3 linked regions of the Cricetulus griseus genome follow. The protein of the gene in region 2 interacts with the protein of the main gene of each other region in a pairwise test. Links are inferred from orthologs where the notes say so. Each region holds a gene or a part of one and is shown on either strand. Other genes may lie near its edges. The genes, in order: Atp5po, Pnma1 and Sema4c.

Region 1 (3,747 bases), on a different chromosome or scaffold from region 2:
TGTTTATACAACGTGTATTAGTGAAGCTGGAGAGATGGCTCAGTGGTTAAGTGCCCTGACTGCTCCTGCAGAAGACCTGTGTTCAGTCCCCAGCACCCACAGGGCAGCTCACAGCTGCCTCTAACTCCAACATCCTTTCCTGGTCTCTCAGACAATATGCACACACATACATAACACACAAACATAGATGCAGGCAAATACTGACACATAAAATAATTCTTTGCCGGCGTTGGTGGCACACGCCTTTAATCCCAGCACTCGGGAGGCAGAGGCAGGCAGATCTCTGTGAGTTCAAGGCCAGCCTGGTCTCCAGAGTGAGTGCCAGGACAGGCTCCAAAGCTGCACAGAGAAACCCTGTCTCAAAAAGCCAAGATAAATAAATAAATAAATAAATAAACTAATTCTTTAAAGACTGTATTCACAGCCCATATATAATTCCATATCCATTTTCCCCTCATATTAAGGCGAAAGAGAAGACACTAAAGTATATAGATAGATAGCTAGATAGATAGATAGACAGACAGATAGATAGATTGTGAATCTCTGTATAAAAAGCACAAACACAAAATGAAGAATTCTGTCAACTATGTACTCATATGTGCTAACATAAATAAATATGTTAAATTTCCTAACATAGTGTAAGGCAGGTACTACACTACTATAATAACAATTTTATAGCTAAGAAAATTGAGGCACAGAAAACTTGTGTGATTATACCAAGGTTACAAAGCTATTAAGATTCAAACCTGGGCACTCTGCCGCCTAAAAAATTTTTTTTCGGTAAACACTTCACCATGATGTTGCCTCTGGGTGGTAGAAAATATCTCTCCATTAAAAAAAGTAATAAAGAAAATGTTATACCCTAAAAGGACAAATCAACTAAATGTATTCCTCTACTAAATCTGAGCAGAAAGCTTTTTTTTTTTTTTTTTTTTTTTTTTTCATGTATAGTGTTCTGTCTGTATGTCTGCTTGCACACCAGCAGAGGGCACCAGATCTCATAACGGATGGTTGTGAGCCACCATGTGGTTGCTAGGAATTGAACTCAGGACCTCTGGAAGAGCAGCCAGTGCTCTTAACCTCCGACAGCTTTTTTCTTTTCTTTTCTCTTTTCTTTTTTTAAGTTTATTCACGCGTTAGAACCAGGAACCCCTGTAGCCGGATCTTTGCTGTGAAGGAGGAAACTGAGAGCCGGCCGGCTGTGCGGACGCAAGGCTCGAGCCAGCTGGCTTTTGACTTTCTGCGTCATCTTTGATTAGAAGCTGGTTCTGGTTCTGATCTCTACCCTGATTGCACACACCGTCCAAGTGTGACAAGCCGCGGAAGGAGCGGGAGAGAACCGGCCCGGGAAGCCTGTCCCAGGAGTGCCCCGCTGCGGGGGTTCGCTCGTGCTTTTGGCTTTCATTTGTTTAAGCGAAGCACGAAGCCTGGCCAGTGAAGCAGGCTACGACACACGGACACACTACACACTACACACTACACACTACGAGGCAACGACACCGGTGATGAGTGTGCAAAGCATCTAAGTGGAAACCCTAAACTAAAGACCGCACATCCACTCCACACGAAGACCCGCTCCGCCAGTAATTGAAGATTTAGTTGGGACGCCCGGCTCCTATGGACTACAACTCCCAGCATGCAAGAGGTTTCCACCCATGCGCCCTGGCACCCGGGGAGCCCATTTCCCAGAGAGCTGAGCGGCCACGCCGGCGCGCGCGTGCGCTCTGGCACCTGTGGGCGCCGCTTGGGAGTGACCTACCTCCGCCGGGGAAAGATGGCCGCGTGCGGGCTGTCCCGACAGGTACAAGGAGCCGGCGGGGGCCCCTGCCCGGGAGCCGGCCCCGGGCCCCGGCGCCGCGTGCGAGGCCGCGGCTGAAGGGTCAGACCGCCCGCCCACCAAGGGCCGTGGAGGTCGGGGAGCGGGCTTGCGCCGTCCTGACCTTGACTTCGGCCGGGGGTCACTGCCAAGGGGCAGCGGGGAAGGCCGCGCGGGCCGCGCCTGTGTGTGAGCCTGTGTGGGGGCTCGCCCGTGTGTGTGTCAGCCTGTGTGTGTGTCAGCCTGTGTGTGAGCCTGAGTGTGTGTCAGCCTGTGTGTGTGTCAGCCTGTGTGTGTGTCAGCCTGTGTGTGTGTGAGCCCGTGTGTGTGTCAGCCTGTGTGTGTGTCAGCCTGTGTGGGGGCTAACCCGTGTGTGAGCCCGTGTGTGTGTCAGCCTGTGTGTGTGTGAGCCCGTGTGTGTGTCAGCCTGTGTGTGTGTGAGCCCGTGTGTGTGTCAGCCTGTGTGTGTGAGCCTGAGTGTGTGTCAGCCTGTGTGTGAGCCTGTGGTGTGTCTAGCCCCTGTCAGCCTGTGTGTGTCAGCCCGCGTGTGTCAGCCTGTGTGTGTTCAGCCTGTGTGGGGCTCGCCCGTGTGTGTGTCAGCCTGTGTGTGTGTGAGCCTGTGTGTCAGCCTGAGTGTGTGTCAGCCTGTGTGTCAGCCTGTGTGTGTGTCAGCCTGTGTGGGGGCTAGCCCGTGTGTGTGTCAACCTGTGTGTGTGTCAGCCTGTGTGGGGGCTCGCCCGCGTGTGTGTCAGCCTGTGTGTGTGTCAGCCTGTGTGTGTGTCAGCCTGAGTGTGTGTGTCAGCCTGTGTGTGTGTCAACCTGTGTGGGGGCTAACCCGTGTGTGAGCCCGTGTGTGTGTCAGCCTGTGTGTGTGTGAGCCCGTGTGTGTGTCAGCCTGTGTGTGTGAGCCTGTGTGTGTGTGAGCCCGTGTGTGTGTCAGCCTGTGTGTGTGTGAGCCCGTGTGTGTGTCAGCCTGTGTGTGAGCCTGTGTGTGTCAGCCTGTGTGTGTGTCAGCCTGTGTGTGTGTCAGCCTGTGTGGGGGCTAGCCCGCATGTGTGTCAGCCCGTGTGTGTGTCAGCCTGTGTGGGGGCTAGCTCGTGTGTGTGTCAGCCTGTGTGTGTGTGAGCCCGCGTGTGTGTCAGCCTGTGTGTCAGCCTGTGTGCTAGGTGTGTGTGTCAGCCTGTGTGTGAGCCCGTGTGTGAGCCTGAGTGTGTGTCAGCCTGTGTGTGAGCCCGTGTGTCAGCCTGTGTGTGTGTGTCAGCCGTGTGTGTGTCAGCCTGTGTGTGTGTCAGCCTGTGTGTCACCTGTGTGGGGGCTAACCCGTGTGTGAGCCCGTGTGTGTGTCAGCCTGTGTGTGTGAGCCCGTGTGTGTGTCAGCCTGTGTGTGTGTGAGCCCGTGTGTGTGTCAGCCCGTGTGTGTGTGAGCCCGCGTGTGTGTGTGAGCCCGCGTGTGTGTCAGCCTGTGTGTGTGTGAGCCTGTGTGTGTCAGCCTGTGTGTGTGTCAGCCTGTGTGTGTGTCAGCCTGTGTGGGGGCTAGCCCGCATGTGTGTCAGCCCGTGTGTGTGTCAGCCTGTGTGGGGGCTAGCTCGTGTGTGTGTCAGCCTGTGTGTGTGTGAGCCCGCGTGTGTGTCAGCCTGTGTGTCAGCCTGTGTGGGGGCTAGCTCGTGTGTGTGTCAGCCTGTGTGGGGGCTAACCCGCGTGTGTGTCAGCCTGTGTGTGTGTGAGCCTGTCTGGGGGCTCGCCCGTGTGTGTGTCAGCCTGTGTGTGTGTGAGCCTGTGTGGGGGCTAGCCCGCGTGTGTGTCAGCCTGTGTGTGAGCCTGTGTGTGTGTCATCCTGTGTGTGTGTCAGCCTGTGTGTGAGCCCGTGTGTGTGTCAGCCTGTGTGTGTGTCAGCCCGTGTGTGTGTGAGCCTGTGTGGGGGCTAGCCCGCG
Region 2 (3,747 bases):
AGATCCGCCTGCCTCTGCCTCCCGAGTGCTGGGATTAAAGGAGTTTGCCACCAATGCCCGGCGCCATATTCTTTTTTTTGTAACGATTTGTTTATTTTTATTTTATTTGCATTTGTGTTCTGTGTCTGCATGTGTATCAGTGTGAGGTTGTTAGATCTTTGGGAACTGGGGTTACCGACAGGTGTGAGCTGCCATGTGGGTTCGGGGAATTGAACCCAGGTCCTTTGGAATAGCAGCCAATGCTCCTAACCAGTGAGCCTTCTATCCAGCCCCCAATGCCATATCTTTATAGGGGTGGGGTTTGTGTGTTTATTTATTTATTTGATTTTTTGAGGCAGGGTTTCTCTGTGTAGTTTTGGAGCCTGGCCGGGAACTCAATTTATAGATCAGGTTTGCCTTGAACTCACAAAGCTCCTCCTGCCTCTGCCTCCCGAGTGCTGGGATTAACGGCATGGGCCACCAAGGCCCGCCTGATTTATAGGGATGTTTTTGCCAGCTGGGATTGACAGGCCTTGCTTGAAGAGAATTTACCCTACCTTTCTGAGCCTTAAGCATTCTCTTTTGTTATCCTGTATACTCAGTAAGATCAAGAAATGAAAGTGTTTGCAGTTTGCCTGGCTACAAAGAAGTAGCAGCAGCAGCATTTTGTTGGTTTTTTTTATATATATATATACAAAATTTAGGCAAGAAAGCATAGTAAGTCTCACAGGAACCTGGAGATGGCATTCTGTCTTTTGCTTTCCTGGGGAGGAGCAAGCAGCAGCTGTGGTGTGTGGTCAGGAGGTACGCAGAAGTCAGAGTGCTGAGTGTTTTCATGGGCTGCATAGTGAATGCATAAGCTGGATGAGCAACATGAGACAGACAAGTCTGTCGTGGTGGATGCGTATCAATAAGGCCAACTTAAATTCACAGCAAAATTAGATTAAGAAAAAAAGAAAACGATGCTTTGCAATATTTATTGTTAAGAAAGAAGCTGGGAAATACGTGTGTGTGTGTGTGCGCGCGCGCGCGCGCCATCACAAAATAGACTCCTCAACCCCTCGGTACCATAGCAACCGCCAGATCCTCTGGAGCTCGCGCATCTCCCGTCGTCATGGATACGGTTGCCACGGCGACACTGACGAGCGGACCGGCCCCGCCCTGCACTGCAGCTGCACGGCGGCGGCCGTTGCGGGAGCGCGCTGCTCTAGACGCTGAGCGGAGCTGCCTCCATCCGGCCTCCCGCCTTCCGCGCCTCCCTGAGGCCTCCGTCCCCGGTGCTCGCCTGCTGCCGCAGCCGCCGGACCCGAGTACCGCCTCTCCCGGCGTCTTCCCAGCCACTGCCTCGCGTGACCCTACGCCCGCGCCTACCGCCGGCCGGCCGGCCCGAGAGCGGCGGGGGGGAGCTGCCACACCCCGCGACCGCACCCGGCCGTCTCCCTCGTGAAGCTGAAGCCCACCGCCTTGCGCCAACCTTGCTTCTCCCCTGCCCGCCGTGAGGCCACGAATAGCTGCGGCCAGCCCGCACCTGCTCGGACCAAAGAGGGCGACATTCGATAGGCAGAGTGCCCCGAGGCACCTGACACTACTGACTTTGGGACCCGGAAGGGACGAGACTGGACTCCGGTGTCACTGGTAATTGTGGTTGCTTGAAGCTTGTCGCCCCCTGGCCTACCCGGGGGAGGGAGGCATGTTGTATTGTCCTAGGTCCTATAGCACTGCGAGCCAGTCCAGTCGGTGTCTGTAGAACTGGCACCCTTAATAGTGGGGCGAAATGGCTTTGACGCTCTTGGAAGACTGGTGCAGGGGAATGGATGTGAACTCTCAGAGAGCTCTGCTGGTCTGGGGGATCCCTGTGAACTGTGATGAGGCTGAAATCGAAGAGACCCTCCAAGCTGCCATGCCCCAAGTGCCCTACCGAGTACTGGGGAGAATGTTCTGGAGGGAAGAAAATGCGAAGGCAGCCTTGTTAGAGCTCACCGGGGAAGTGGATTACTCCCTGATCCCTAGAGAGATGCCAGGCAAAGGAGGGCTCTGGAAAGTGTTCTTTAAGCCCCCCACTTCTGATGCGGAGTTTCTGGAGAGGCTGCACCTCTTTCTAGCTAGGGAAGGGTGGACTGTGCAAGATGTTGCTCGTGTGCTTGGGTTTCAGAACCCTGCTCCCGCTCCAGGCCCAGAAATGCCAGCAGAGATGCTCAATTATATTTTGGATAATGTTATTCAACCTCTTGTTGAGTCCATATGGTATAAGAAGCTGACGCTATTCTCTGGGAGGGACATTCCCGGGCCTGGCGAGGAGACCTTTGATTCCTGGCTGGAGCACTCGAATGAGGTCATAGAAGAATGGCAGGTGTCTGATATAGAAAAGAGACGGCGGTTGATGGAGAGTTTGAGAGGCCCTGCTGCTGATGTCATTCGCATCCTCAAGACCAACAACCCAGCCATAACCACCGCGGAATGCCTGAAGGCTCTTGAGCAGGTGTTTGGGAGCGTGGAGAGCTCTAGAGATACACAGGTCAGATTTCTGAACACTTACCAGAACCCCGGGGAAAAGTTGTCATCTTACGTCATTCGTCTGGAGCCTCTGCTACAAAAGGTAGTGGAAAAGGGGGCCATTGATAAAGATAACGTGAACCAGGCTCGCCTGGAGCAGGTCATCGCCGGGGCCAACCACAGTGGGGCCATCCGAAGGCAATTGTGGCTGACTGGGGCTGCGGAACGACCGGCACCCAACCTCTTCCAGTTGCTGGTGCAGATTCGAGAGGAGGAAGCCAAGGAGGAGGAAGAGGAAGCTGAGGCAGCCCTTTTGCAGCTAGGCCTGGAGGGGCACTTCTGAGTCCCTGGATCAGTCTGGCTGCTTTTGTTATCCCTGTGCGGTTTTACAAGCCTTGCCTCTCATAGTAAAGACCTAGCCTCCTGTTTTTGTTTTGTTTTCTGGGGGATGGGATAGGGGAGTCAGGCCTGCGTATTTGTGTAGCAGTCACAGAATTGCGTGATTGGCCAGGGCTGCAACAGTAGAGGTGGTTCATACTGCCTAAAATGAATGCTTGATGCAAGCCCTCCTAGTGACATCTTTGACAGTTGTGAAAAATGTGAAGCTGAGACACTTCCTGTCAGGATGATTGTGAAAGTGCAAGCCTGCTTCACAGGCTGTATGGTACAGACTGACATTTGTTACTAATATTGTGGATAGTTTTACTGTACATTGTCCCTAATTTATATACATGGGAAGAATATGAGTCTGTTAGATGATACTGCTCATTTTGAAAATTCAGATTTCTCATTCCTCACGGCTCAACATCAGAACCAGTTTACCAGCAAAGTACTCTAGGATTAAAATTGGCAAGTTAGAAAAATGTGATTTTTATGAAGAGGCACAACCTACTTTTCATGGTGTAAGATACAAATATAAGTCAGGGGGAATTTCCATAAACAAGCTACATTTTCCCCACATGAATTATTTGTCATTTAATTATTGGTCATGTTGATGCTAAGTGTTCTAAATTTGAAGTTATCAAATAGATGTATACAAATAAAAATGTGAAAATTCTCATCTTGCTTTTCCTGACATGTATAAAAAATTTTCAGTGTAACTTAGCTCTGCACATTTTTTCTCTGCACATTTTTGCTCATGTCAAAAAATTTTTTAATCTCCTTGCTATGAGCTTAAATTGCAATATCACCTACACATTCTTGTGTTGCCGGTTCCTCGGTTATTGTTTTGTTTCTTTTTCACGGTCCCACTCGATAGCTAGCTGAGGCTGGCTT
Region 3 (3,026 bases), on a different chromosome or scaffold from region 2:
ATTAGTGATTGCTCTCTAATCCCTTTGGGTTCTGCCAGGAGGGATAATTTCGGGCTTGTGTCAGAATGGGGACCAGGTGTGTCACCTGTGGTATATAGCTCAAGCTGTGTTTGCGGCACATACTTAACACATGCCTGTGACATGGCTGATATGTCATTTCCCATCCTCAGATCACCTGGAGGGCCCCGACTGAGAAGAAGATTGAGTGTACCCGGAAAGGGAAGAGCAACCAGGTGGGTGTCAGGGCACTTCCCCTGCCAGACCTCTGTGGCATGTTCGCCTCCCTGGCCTCTGGACCCTGGTGATCCTGCGTCTCTGATTCTCAGTGCTCACTAACTTGTATACCTTTCTCTCTGAAGACCGAGTGCTTCAACTTCATCTGCTTCCTTCAGCCATACAATACCTCCCACCTGTACGTCTGTGGTACCTATGCCTTCCAGCCCAAGTGCACCTACATCGTGAGTGTTACCCTCCCTCTTTGGGTGTGTCCCTTACCCACCTGCCCCTAATTTCTGTGACTTCCTTCCTTGGACTCTCGAGACCAGGATTTTTCAGGCCGAGCAGGGCCCCCATATTAATGCCTGTCTTCCATGTCTTCCTGCCCCTAGAACAAGCTCAGTTTCAAATTGAAGCGTGAAGAACTTGAGGATGGGAAGGGTAAATGCCCCTATGACCCAGCTAAGGGCCACACTGGACTCCTTGTGGGTGAGTGGCTACCCTTCAGTACAGACAGGGTAAACCTCATGGGACTTTAGTCACATTCCGGATACTTGTCTCCAGAGTACATCCGTACCTTACTTTTCTGGCTTAGTTGACCTGCCATTTGTCTCTTCTAGACGGTGAGATGTTCTCAGCCACACTCAACAACTTCCTGGGTACAGAGCCTATTATCCTGCGAAACATGGGCCCCCACCACCCCGTCAAAACAGAGTACCTGGCGTTTTGGCTGAATGGTGAGTCATGGAGTGGGATTGGGGAAGCCGAGAGTGGAAGGGCCTTCAAAGGCCCTGGCACCCTGCCACTGACCTTCCTTACTTTGCCCCAGAACCCCACTTTGTAGGCTCTGCCTATGTCCCTGAGAGTGTGGGGAGCTTCACGGGGGACGATGACAAGGTCTACTTCTTCTTCAGTGAGCGGGCGGTCGAGTATGACTGCTATGCTGAGCAGGTGGTGGCTCGTGTGGCTCGCGTCTGTAAGGTACCAAGTTCCGCAGTGGTGGGCAGTGGGAGCCCTGAAGGCTTGGCAGGGGCTGACCAGCCATGTCTCCTTGCCATCTGCCAGGGCGACATGGGGGGCGCACGGACCCTACAGAAGAAGTGGACAACTTTCCTAAAAGCACAGTTGGCGTGCGCAGCCCCTGACTGGAAGGTCTACTTCAACCAGCTTCGGTCAGTGCACACCCTGCTGGGTGCCTCTTGGCAAAACACCACCTTCTTTGGGGTTTTTCAAGCACGGTGGTAAGTAGCTCTGGCGTTGTTGGGGGTAGGGAGGAGCAGGTGGTCAGGTCGGAGATGGTGTGTGGGTGTGAGGGCCTGCACAGGTCTCTGGAGGAAGTCCAGCTGGTCAGTGCCTGGCAGCCAAGATCACTCTGGCTTGCTCTTTTTAAAGCTCTGTGGGGGAGAGGAGCAGAAACTGCCTCAGGTGTTACCTCAGAGCCACCTCATGGCCATGACTGCTCCATCTCGAGCCCTGCCTTCTTAGTGCTTCCTCTGGAGCTGGGGTGTGGTGCGGGCAAGTAGGCACCAGACCCGACATTCAAGGTCCTTCCTTTGCTGTACCAGGGGTGATATGGACCTGTCAGCAGTCTGTGAGTACCAGTTGGAACAGATCCAGCAGGTGTTCGAGGGTCCCTACAAAGAATACAGTGAGCAAGCCCAGAAATGGGCCCGCTATACTGACCCAGTACCCAGCCCTCGGCCCGGTTCGGTGAGTCTTCCGCATGGGGCTGTGTTCCCAACGTCAGCTCCAAGACCCATTCATTCACCCAGCTGATGGCTCTCTTCCCATATCCCTCCCCCCACACAGTGCATCAACAATTGGCACCGCCACAACGGCTACACCAGTTCTCTGGAGCTGCCTGACAACATCCTCAACTTCATCAAAAAGCACCCCCTGATGGAGGATCAGGTGCAGCCTCGGTGGGGCCGCCCCCTGCTTGTGAAGAAGAACACTAACTTCACACACATGGCAGCCGACAGGGTCACAGGGCTCGATGGTGCCACTTATACAGTGCTGTTCATTGGTACAGGTAGGCTCTTTGGGTGTGCCAAGGCTGGGAGCCTGGGGGTGCCCCAGGCCTGAGGCCTCATCATTAACACACCCCTCCTCATCACCTCTCCAGGAGATGGCTGGCTGCTGAAGGCTGTGAACCTGGGGCCCTGGATCCATGTGATAGAGGAACTGCAGGTGTTTGACCAGGAGCCAGTGGGAAGTCTGGTGCTGTCTCAGAGCCAGGTAGTAGGATGAACCACACAGATTCCCCACTGCCCTCTGCATCACCATCCATCTCACACCCAGTCTTTCTGCTTCCCTAATCGGGCTCATGTGATTGGCCAGCTCAGGACTCCTCACTTAGCGCTTGTGAGTTCCAGGGAGTAAGAGCACTAACACACCGGAACCTGCCCTCCAAGAGTTCTTATATGGAGCCAGTCCCTGTGGGGCCCCCATTCCCAGAATCCAGCCTTGGCAAATGCACTGATGTTTTCTTCAGGCCCTTCCAAGTGGGTCTGGGGCTTTGCCTGTAACCTCTTCTCAGTCATTGACCAGACCTCCCAGACTCCAAGATGTTTTTGGTACCCATGCATCAGGGACATCAGTTTTCTTCTAGTTCCCAGTGGGTCTCTGTCAGGCCCTCAATTTCCTGGATCATTTCCTTGAAGCATTTGCTTTTTTTTTTTTTACCTTCATACAAAACTGGCATATCCACAGTACCCTCTGGACTTTGATTTGTTTGCCTTTTAGCAGTTATCATGACTCAAAGTTGTTGTTCTCCAATCTTTGAATAATGAAATGGCAGCAAGGAAAAG

Evidence for each region.
Region 1: the proteins of Pnma1 (region 2) and Atp5po interact in binary tests that used the Homo sapiens proteins (3 or more experiments, as listed by UniProt). The two-hybrid records come from large-scale screens. The link is inferred for Cricetulus griseus from reciprocal best matches to the Homo sapiens genes PNMA1 and ATP5PO.
Region 3: the proteins of Pnma1 (region 2) and Sema4c interact in binary tests that used the Homo sapiens proteins (3 or more experiments, as listed by UniProt). The two-hybrid records come from large-scale screens. The link is inferred for Cricetulus griseus from reciprocal best matches to the Homo sapiens genes PNMA1 and SEMA4C.

What each region holds. Positions count from the first base shown.
Region 1 is NC_048597.1:5,849,090-5,852,836, forward strand, and holds the start of Atp5po (ATP synthase subunit O, mitochondrial), read left to right. Parts: upstream 1-1,621; 5' UTR 1,622-1,636; coding exon 1,637-1,801; intron 1,802-3,747. UniProt on the Homo sapiens protein: Subunit OSCP, of the mitochondrial membrane ATP synthase complex (F(1)F(0) ATP synthase or Complex V) that produces ATP from ADP in the presence of a proton gradient across the membrane which is generated by electron transport complexes of the respiratory chain.
Region 2 is NC_048598.1:119,613,801-119,617,547, forward strand, and holds Pnma1 (paraneoplastic antigen Ma1), read left to right. Parts: upstream 1-1,087; 5' UTR 1,088-1,753; coding exon 1,754-2,815; 3' UTR 2,816-3,542; downstream 3,543-3,747.
Region 3 is NW_023276807.1:11,637,813-11,640,838, forward strand, and holds part of Sema4c (semaphorin-4C), read left to right. Parts: intron 1-170; coding exon 171-233; intron 234-359; coding exon 360-458; intron 459-608; coding exon 609-705; intron 706-836; coding exon 837-953; intron 954-1,045; coding exon 1,046-1,197; intron 1,198-1,281; coding exon 1,282-1,457; intron 1,458-1,781; coding exon 1,782-1,926; intron 1,927-2,025; coding exon 2,026-2,248; intron 2,249-2,341; coding exon 2,342-2,454; intron 2,455-3,026.